Linked DNA regions of Daphnia pulex. The protein of the gene in region 2 interacts with the protein of the main gene of each other region in a pairwise test. Links are inferred from orthologs where the notes say so. Each region holds a gene or a part of one and is shown on either strand. Other genes may lie near its edges.

Region 1 (4,292 bases), about 8.1 Mb from region 2:
GAGTGTCTACAAGAGCTCGAAAGACGGCTATTGGATCCCGATCTGGTAAAATAACGCGACGAAAGAATGTAAAGCCTCTTGATTATGACGACGAACAACCAGCAAACCCAACTGAGAATGATGCTTTGGAACCAGCAAATTGTTCGAAGGATGCTAACCCTACTGCTCCAAATTCAAATATTCCACTCGACAGTTTGCTGAATTCTCCCCTTGGACAAATTGGTTTAGAACAAGGTGGGTTAACCGTCGTTGAAGTTCCTGGAACTCCTAACCAGGCTCCATCTTTTCTAGTCCCTCCAGCTCTTGCAGAAGCCAATCCCGCGTTTGCTCAAGCTGAACCCGGTAGTTTAGTGTTGGTGGCAGAACCCAATCCCGGAGATCCTAATAATCAATTGGTACATGTATACCGTATAGCCGAACCGTTTGAACCGGTCTCCTAATAAGATCCCCTACGCATTTTGCCCAATCCTTCACTGTTAATTTTTTTTTTGTGTGTGCGTGTGTATGTTGTTGCCATCCAGAATTAAATAACGATCTAATTACTGCTTAAGGCCAGTGAATAAGGTAACAACGTATATTTATACAGAATTGTTATTTGAAAATGTTCAGAAGGTACATTCCACATAGAATTGAAGAGAAGTGCTTAATCAATTGTAATAATATGACATGTAAAATTACAAGAAACTCACAAGCTGCACAGAAGAATCTTCATAATTTCGGATATGAACTTTTCTGGCAGTGTCCATTTTCAAACTACTCGAGGAGTCATTTCTAAATGTTACCCATTGTTTTTGTCTGATGTTTTTTTTTACTCACTACGGTGCATTACAATATGACGGCAATTTAGCCACTGCAACGAGGTAAGGGCAACAAAACAGGTATCAAACATCAGCAGGATGGCTGACGGGGTACGAGTAACTTGAACGATAAGAAAAAAATTCACAAAACCTTTCGATCCAATTTCACGAACAGGCTCCAGATGCCTACCGCCGAATAAGGTGGAAGATTCACGGATGAAAATTTAAAAGCCTTTAAAATACAAACTCGACCATTTAGTAGATGGCCAATAAAATTATTGCATGTCAACAGAATAAAACCGCCGTCCAAGTAAATGACAAACAACATCCTATTCCCTTGATAATCATGGCCATTTATTCCGAGTTAGGAGATTGTTCTCTGACTGCTTAAAAAAAAAGAGAAAAAGTTGATTTGTGGTACGCAGTTCCTCTAGATTAATAAAATTATAATTACCAGGTCTATTAACAGGACCACCGCTTCTGCACGTATTGTACGATCCACATGGTGCATTTTGGCACTTCGCTCCAAGGGGATGCATTGGAACTTCAGAAAACTGCAAAAAAATTGTTAATTATAATAACATTTTAAAAACTCTTTAGTGCCGAGAAATGACTAACCTGATGGCAGTCGTTACATAAAATCGTGACAAAAAAATTTTGATATTCCACTGGCATTGGGGTTGAGGCAATTTCATCGTCTAAAATGCGCCAGTACTAGAATGGAAACACAATTGGTAACGTTATAATTCGTTTTATAAATTTAAATTTTAGTACCGATTCCATCGGCATCATTGAACGTTGACAAACTGGGCAGGCATAGTGACCACGATGAATAAATGAATTGAAACATGTTCGGTGAATCAGATGACCACATGATGGGATGTGTGAAGGAATTCTTGATGTATGAATATCCTCCAAACAAATTGGGCAATTTGTTCGGCTCATCTTTTCAACGCACTGTAACAGAGCAAAAATAACTAATTGAATGAACTAAAAACCAAAATAATTTATGTATAAATTAGAATCCCACAAAAATGCTTACTCTATGCTGATTTTCAAGTTTTTTTGGTAAGCACATATCACATGTTTGGCAGTGGAAAAACTTGTCCCTTCCTCCGACTCTACATATTCCTGAAAAAGTAAGATATAGGAGTTGTCACCAAAGATTAAATATAATTGGTTTTAAAATGTAATAATAATTACCACATCCTTCACAGTGATACTGCTTTTTATCTTCATCATCAATCAACTTGCACTTTCCACAAAAATACTGCAAAACAAAATCAAGGTTTCTTTATTTTGAAAAAAAAAAGAAAAGAAAAAAGTCTGATACTTTACCTGTCCAAAGAGGATACCACAATTGGAACAGTTTTGTTGAACTGGTTGTTTTGTTTCACACAATGAACACATAATTTCATCCACATTTTTTCGGTTAAGGGTGTGTTCCTCCTTCTCATCATGACAAAAACGGCAAGTATAAACTTTGTCACAGCATGGTGTCTACAAAACAAAATTATTGTTTAGTAAAATAATAAATAATTAAGTATTTAACTTCTCAATACAACTTTAAACAGGATTACTATAAAACCGCATTATCTTCACGAGGAGATATCATGGTCATTTTTCAGACATTGTGCCCACAGTTATTTCCCGACCAACTTGAGTTACAACATTACTTGGTTAAGAACAAAGTGTCGAACTACTTACCACTAATTTGCATTTTCGTTTATAATGTTCGCAACCGTATTCGACATTCTCCTCAGCCATTTTATCTCCTCCACCTATTCCAACGAGTCAGTATCTGGCAGTGTGTGTACACAGTGTAAAAGAAAACACGAGTTTCGGCCAGTTAGTGTACAGCGTGTAGGTTTGGGCTTAGCCTAGCGGCATGAACATGAACTATGTTGGGTCGACTTCTTTCCGAAAATTCCTAACTTCCCACGTTTGTCTTGTTTGTGCAGCAATTTATTTAAAAACTAATTTCCCAATGGAATCCAGAGTAACCAGCAAGTTAATTTTCATCCAATTTTCTCATCTCTAATCTTTAATTGGTTAATCACGAACTTAAATTTGTTGTGACGAGATGTCGCTAGCTCCCTTCCTTGTCCTTTCTAAAAGCGGTTCTTCAAAATCAAAACACTCGAATGTTGCCATACTGTTTTATACAGTCTATCGGAGTGCATGTTTTGAAATATTAATGGACTTAAGGCCGGGGACCGGGGTAAGGTAGGAGAAAAGGAGGAAAGGAGAAAATCGAAGAAATTTTTTTTTACGTTCAAATTGAGAAAAATATGCAAATGACCCTACCTATTGAAAGGGCAGCAAGGTCCTTGAAAAACTTAGTTGTTCTCGTGCGGCCCACGAGGTCGGATGCTCAACAATTTGGCAGTAGAATTTGAAAGTGTGTATAGCGCGACTGTGAACTCTGACTGAATAATTATTGCCATAATCATTTCCTGTGATTGTGAATTGTGAATCATCGATCTCGTAAGCAGTTGAAAAGAACATTGCCGAACAATTGGGGACAAAACACCATAATCGACCAAACCGCCGACCCTCAACATGATAACATCAAATCCCACGTGTGACCATTACGAAGGTAGGAAAAAACACTTAAACGACTTTTTTTGCGAGGTTGTGCATACTCTGGTAATTTAATTTTCTATGAAATGTACGAAAGATTGTAAGCCAATGTGACCTGTTGCACATAAATAGCTGCGACAATTGAAGATTTTTTACTTATTCACGAAAACTTTTTTTAATGTCGACCTTGTCATCCCCTTTTCCTTCTCTCGCATGGAGATTATAGTAGCATTGCAAATTTTTAAGATTTTGTTGGGTAAATTTGTTTAGAAGGCCTTCAATTTCAATTCATGTGCGTTTTTTTATTCGACGAGAAAGATAAGTGACCCACGTGTTACAGACCGTTGGCTGTAGGTTATCAGATGAGGAGCGCAGCGTCATTATCGATCAATTTATACTCTCATTTTCTTTCTTTGGAAGACATTTTTATTTGAACCCGCAACTTTCAAAGAATTGGAACACGAGTCTTTTTATTGATAGAACGTTCGAAATATCCACTCAATCAAACCAAATACAATTACTGACAAAATCTGACTCCCAAGTCCCAACCCCGTTAGTCTTTTGATTTTTTCAAATTTCCGAATATAATGGCATTCTTGAATTTCTTGGGGTTTCGGATGCCGTACGCTTTGAGGCGATCGTCAGTTATGTCAAAACCACGAATGGTGGCCGATTTCTTATTAGCTGTTGTTTCAGTTGCGTTTTTGTTTTTCTTCTTCTTTTTCTTCTGTTTCTTTCCTTCATTAACAGAAGACGATCCGGCCTTCTGATCCTCCTCTTGTGCCAACAATTTCTTAGCTTGTTTCTTCTTTTTTTTCTTTTTGGGAGAGTTTTCTGTGCAAGTGACCTCACTCTTCTTTCCAGTTGAATCGATTTCCATTTTAAAATCCTTGCTTGGTGAAACTGCTTTCT
Region 2 (4,419 bases):
AAATGCCACCGAGAACATGGTCAAGCAAACTGCTAAAGAAATTACTCACAATTTGGAGGATAACGACGGGAAAAAGATGTAACGCTTGTTGTTCTCCTTAATTTATTAGTTTCACAATAAAGCCTTCCATAGTCAACCTACTGGAATGTGATGAGTTATTTGCATTTGTCGGTGTCGCAAGCGACGTGTTTCGAGACACCCGAACAATAGCCTTTTCATGGTTAGTGCTCATGAAACCGACGACCATCGAATCAGTTGTGAAGGCCATGTTGAAATCTATCGAATCTTCGCTATAATACGCCACTAGAACACCACCCATCCGGTCATAGACGTCATCAGACAGCATTTCTGAATGGATGAACTCGTCACACATGAGCTCTTTCAAGTGGAAAGCCGGATCTCCTCGCTCTAATATGGTTTGACCAAGCTTCTTGGCCAAGGTTGTTTGGATGAGTTGCTCGCCACAACCAGAAGTTGACACAGCAACACCACCGGAGCTGGAATGCTGCGCCCAACAACCACAGCCGTAAACTGGCACCTATCGCAATATACACATTGTAAATGACTACTAAAATGACAAGAAGGAATAAAGGAAAACCTGTCCAACTCGGCCGGGAAGCTTCATAGCAATTCCTCCCGAACTCGATGCACTTGCAATGTCACCATTCGTATCTATGCAAATTACTCCTACTGTATCCTAGATTTAAAAAATAACCATGATATTTGGATAACATTACTTTAGGAAACCAAATATATTACTTGACTTGGGTTTGGCTGCACTGTGATCTTTAGCCCACTTGATAAAGCTTTTCTGGATACTTCCAGCCGTTCTTTATATTTCTTATACTTTCTCATGGCTTTGTCAGATATAAGAGTGCTATTGTGAACAAGATTCAAACCTCGGTTTTTAGCAAAATCAGACGCTCCTTCTCCTACTAGAACACTAAAAAAAAGGCTGTGTTAATTTAACCACTCATTTTAAGTGATGCAAATGGTATTTTGAATTACAGTGGAGGTGTTCTACCAAGAAGTCTTGGTTCATTCTGGTATAAAATGATTTCTTTGGCTACCATTATAGGATTTTTAATACTTTTAAGTGATGAGACTGCTCCAAATCGTGTGTTTCTTTGATGTTTCAAAGACAACATGATTCCTGCATCACATTCAACTTCACCGCTCTCAGTGAGATTGGAGCCATATCCTGCATTAGTTAGTGGTGAATCTTCTAATATGCAAACCAATTCACACGTAACATCTAGTGCAGATTTTCCTTCTTGCAATAAAGCTGCTCCCTGGGAAAAACTTATCAAGTCAAACTATGAAACCATGAATCACTAATAGAAAGCCATGCCTTTTCACACGTTATTTTGCAAAGTTTTTTGTAAATAGCTTCAGATTTTGAACTATGGCAGCCTGCTCCAAGATGAATAGCAACAAATCCATACTGTGACATTTTTGCACTTTTATGGTTTAAATTTTGTCGAGAATTTTCATAACCGAAATTTCATTTTACAATTTGAAATGGGACTGATCGGTCCAGTTTGTGAGAGAGCTAGCAGAAGACTACCATTTCCAACCGGCAAAAGCGGCAATGTCGCTCATGGCCGCGCACTGTTGTTTTGAAAGCTTTTTCTCTAATGAAGACCGAACAGTCATTGTCAAAAATGAAAGAAGAGATTGTAGATAAAGATCTGTTTTCAGATTCAACTGTATGAATTTTTACATTATTTCATTAGAAACCATGTTTAATTTTGTTTATTCTATTATCTAGGCATCTGTTGTTGAAGGCTGTCGGTTGCCTGTACGGATGAGAAACACCGAAGACTGGCGTAACATTTGTTGCTTTGTTATCATTTTATAGATTTGAAAGTTTAATTGTGGTTTTTCTTTTGTTATCATTTAGCTCTAGCCGAAGTACTCAGTGTCAAAGATATCTGCAACATCAGGATGTTTTATGTCCATTACATCGACTGTAAGTTTTGTATATGCTATGTTTAACGATACATCATCTTACAAAATTTTTAATTCAACTCTAGTCAACAAACGACTTGATGATTGGGTCTCAGAAGATTTCTTAGATACGAGAAAAATTCAGTTTCCTAGAAAAGATGGAACTCAAGTAGGCACAGGCATGAGTACTCCTAAAAAAGTTGGAGGAACAACTGGTTCTTCCCGTCCTTCTTCCCCACTAGCTGCATCCAGTGCATCAGACCTTACTGTCAATGGGTCTGCTCTACTGGCTGCAGCAATACAAAAGAGAAATGGAAGAAAACGTAAAATTGGAGAAAAAGAAGAGCCCAGTCCAGGATCCATTATTCCAATCCCACCTGCCAAGAAACTTATAAGTAAAGTTATTTTATTTCATTAATTCTTTACATTTTTCATAAATTCTTTTAAATTTTATTTTTATAGAAATTGAAAAAGAATTACCAGCAATCCCCACTCTGCCACCCACCGTAGTTAGCGATAGTTGTGCTGTTCCTACAAGTAATTAGTCATTTTTTCTACAATCTATTTATTATATATAAATGATTATTAAAACTAAAATTTTCTGCATAGGTGATTCAGTTTGTGAGGTAGGAGATGCTAACTCTCCGGCCCCACCGTCCACCCCTGCACCGACTACACCAGGGCCACGTCAGTCGGGCAGTCTTGTTACACATCACGATGACGTTGTAACACGAATGAAAAATATTCAAATGATTGAACTCGGCAGACACAGAATAAAACCTTGGTATTTCGCACCCTACCCTCAGGTATGTCATCATCTAACGAACGTAAAGATCCGAAATGTTTACTATTCTTTTTCAAAAATTAGGAAATGGTTCACCAAGCTTGTATTTACATATGCGAGTTTTGTCTCAAGTACCGGAAAAGTGAAAAATGTCTAGAACGTCATCTGGTAATTTAAAATTTTACGATATATTTTTAATTGGATGATCAACCCTTAAACTTTTTCTACAGATGAAGTGCAATCTTAGACATCCGCCAGGCAATGAAGTTTACCGCAAACAGACAATTTCTTTTTTTGAAATCGACGGCCGTAAAAATAAAGCATACGCTCAGAACCTATGCCTGCTAGCGAAACTGTTCCTTGATCACAAGACACTGTATTACGACACTGATCCGTTCCTCTTTTACGTCATGACTGAAGTGGATGCACGAGGTTTTCATATCGTCGGCTACTTTAGCAAAGAGAAAGAAAGCTCGGAGGACTACAATGTCGCCTGCATCTTAACATTACCACCCTATCAACGGAAAGGATATGGAAAACTTCTTATTGAATTCAGTGCGTACAGAATCGTAAACCCAAGGGGAAATATTTTTTTAAAACCATTTTTGTTTACGTAAAGGTTACGAGCTGTCCAAGTTCGAAGGCAAAACGGGCTCGCCAGAAAAACCTCTGTCCGATTTAGGGTTGCTGTCTTATCGCAGTTACTGGGCTTTTACAATCTGTGATATTCTGATGAATATGAAACCATCCAGTGAAGGTGAACGTCCTCAAATTACCATCAAGTAAGTGATGTAAATTACTTCATTCTAGAGCTCACGTTGACAAACGAATTCGTTTTAATTTAAATAGCGAAATTTGCGAAATGACGAGCATTAAAAAAGAGGACGTGGTGTCCACCTTACAGCATTTGAACCTCATCAATTACTACAAGGGGCAGTACGTACTCATTCTGAACGAAGAAGCGATGAAAAATTGCATAAAAAACAAAGAGAAATGGAAATTACACATCGATCCCAAATGCTTGCACTGGACACCGAAAGACTGGTCCAAAAGAGGGAAATGGTGATGAGATCGCACCTACAATCCATTCCGCGATCTTGCTACTTCTTTGCTTTTTTTTAAAAAATACACTCACAATTTCTATGTACAAGAATTCCAAATTCAAATGTCCTGTTTCTCTTGGTTATTCTTGTCTGTTACGACAACAGCTTCACGGTTCTCGTATGTCCAAAATCCATCCAAATCAATCAAGATATTGATCACAGTTTCACCGTATCCACTGAGCCAGAAAACGTTCAATGACAATCTTATTCTAAAAAAATTCTAAATGAACTTTGTGTGTTACCAGTTAATCAAATCATGTAAAGTGATTTTTGACGGATCGGCAGGACGCACCATATCGAAAATCTCATCATTGACGTCGTCAAAAGCAACGACTTCTTGTTTGTGCTGCTGCATCAACTCTTGAACCCCCTGCAAAGCATTTTTTTTTTTTTCAAGATAAGAAAGTCAAAAGGTCAAATGAGGAAATTAATACTTTGAAGTAAAAATGGAGGTCAAAAGTGTTGAGATGGTTTCGATGATTGACGTCCAACAAACGGAAAAAATACTGAAGTGCTTGTGGTTCCTTTTTATTGTCCATGGCCAATACGAAATCCAAGTACGTTTTATAATCCATTTCTTTC

The links.
Region 1: the proteins of histone acetyltransferase Tip60-like (region 2) and RING finger and CHY zinc finger domain-containing protein 1-like interact in a two-hybrid assay, tested with the Homo sapiens proteins (2 studies listed by BioGRID). The link is inferred for Daphnia pulex from reciprocal best matches to the Homo sapiens genes KAT5 and RCHY1.

What each region holds. Positions count from the first base shown.
Region 1 is NC_060018.1:4,447,063-4,451,354, reverse strand, and holds RING finger and CHY zinc finger domain-containing protein 1-like, read right to left. Parts: upstream 2,667-4,292; 5' UTR 2,565-2,666; coding exon 2,505-2,564; intron 2,298-2,504; coding exon 2,136-2,297; intron 2,068-2,135; coding exon 2,001-2,067; intron 1,929-2,000; coding exon 1,840-1,928; intron 1,755-1,839; coding exon 1,572-1,754; intron 1,512-1,571; coding exon 1,416-1,511; intron 1,352-1,415; coding exon 1,252-1,351; intron 1,184-1,251; coding exon 1,152-1,183; 3' UTR 561-1,151; downstream 1-560. Other genes in the region: transcription factor TFIIIB component B'' homolog, read left to right, coding at 1-440; protein KRI1 homolog, read right to left, coding at 3,934-4,292. UniProt on the Homo sapiens protein: E3 ubiquitin-protein ligase that mediates ubiquitination of target proteins, including p53/TP53, TP73, HDAC1 and CDKN1B. Mediates ubiquitination and degradation of p53/TP53; preferentially acts on tetrameric p53/TP53.
Region 2 is NC_060018.1:12,585,822-12,590,240, forward strand, and holds histone acetyltransferase Tip60-like, read left to right. Parts: upstream 1-1,586; 5' UTR 1,587-1,637; coding exon 1,638-1,709; intron 1,710-1,771; coding exon 1,772-1,829; intron 1,830-1,903; coding exon 1,904-1,972; exon of another isoform or gene 1,973-2,036; coding exon 2,037-2,345; exon of another isoform or gene 2,346-2,412; coding exon 2,413-2,487; exon of another isoform or gene 2,488-2,559; coding exon 2,560-2,756; exon of another isoform or gene 2,757-2,818; coding exon 2,819-2,902; exon of another isoform or gene 2,903-2,964; coding exon 2,965-3,289; exon of another isoform or gene 3,290-3,353; coding exon 3,354-3,516; exon of another isoform or gene 3,517-3,583; coding exon 3,584-3,800; 3' UTR 3,801-3,887; downstream 3,888-4,419. Other genes in the region: arginine-hydroxylase NDUFAF5, mitochondrial-like, read left to right, coding at 1-82; threonine aspartase 1-like, read right to left, coding at 98-538, 599-697, 760-943, 1,009-1,292, 1,352-1,453; serine/threonine-protein phosphatase 2A regulatory subunit B'' subunit gamma-like, read right to left, coding at 3,896-4,013, 4,080-4,207, 4,272-4,419. UniProt on the Homo sapiens protein: Catalytic subunit of the NuA4 histone acetyltransferase complex, a multiprotein complex involved in transcriptional activation of select genes principally by acetylation of nucleosomal histones H2A and H4.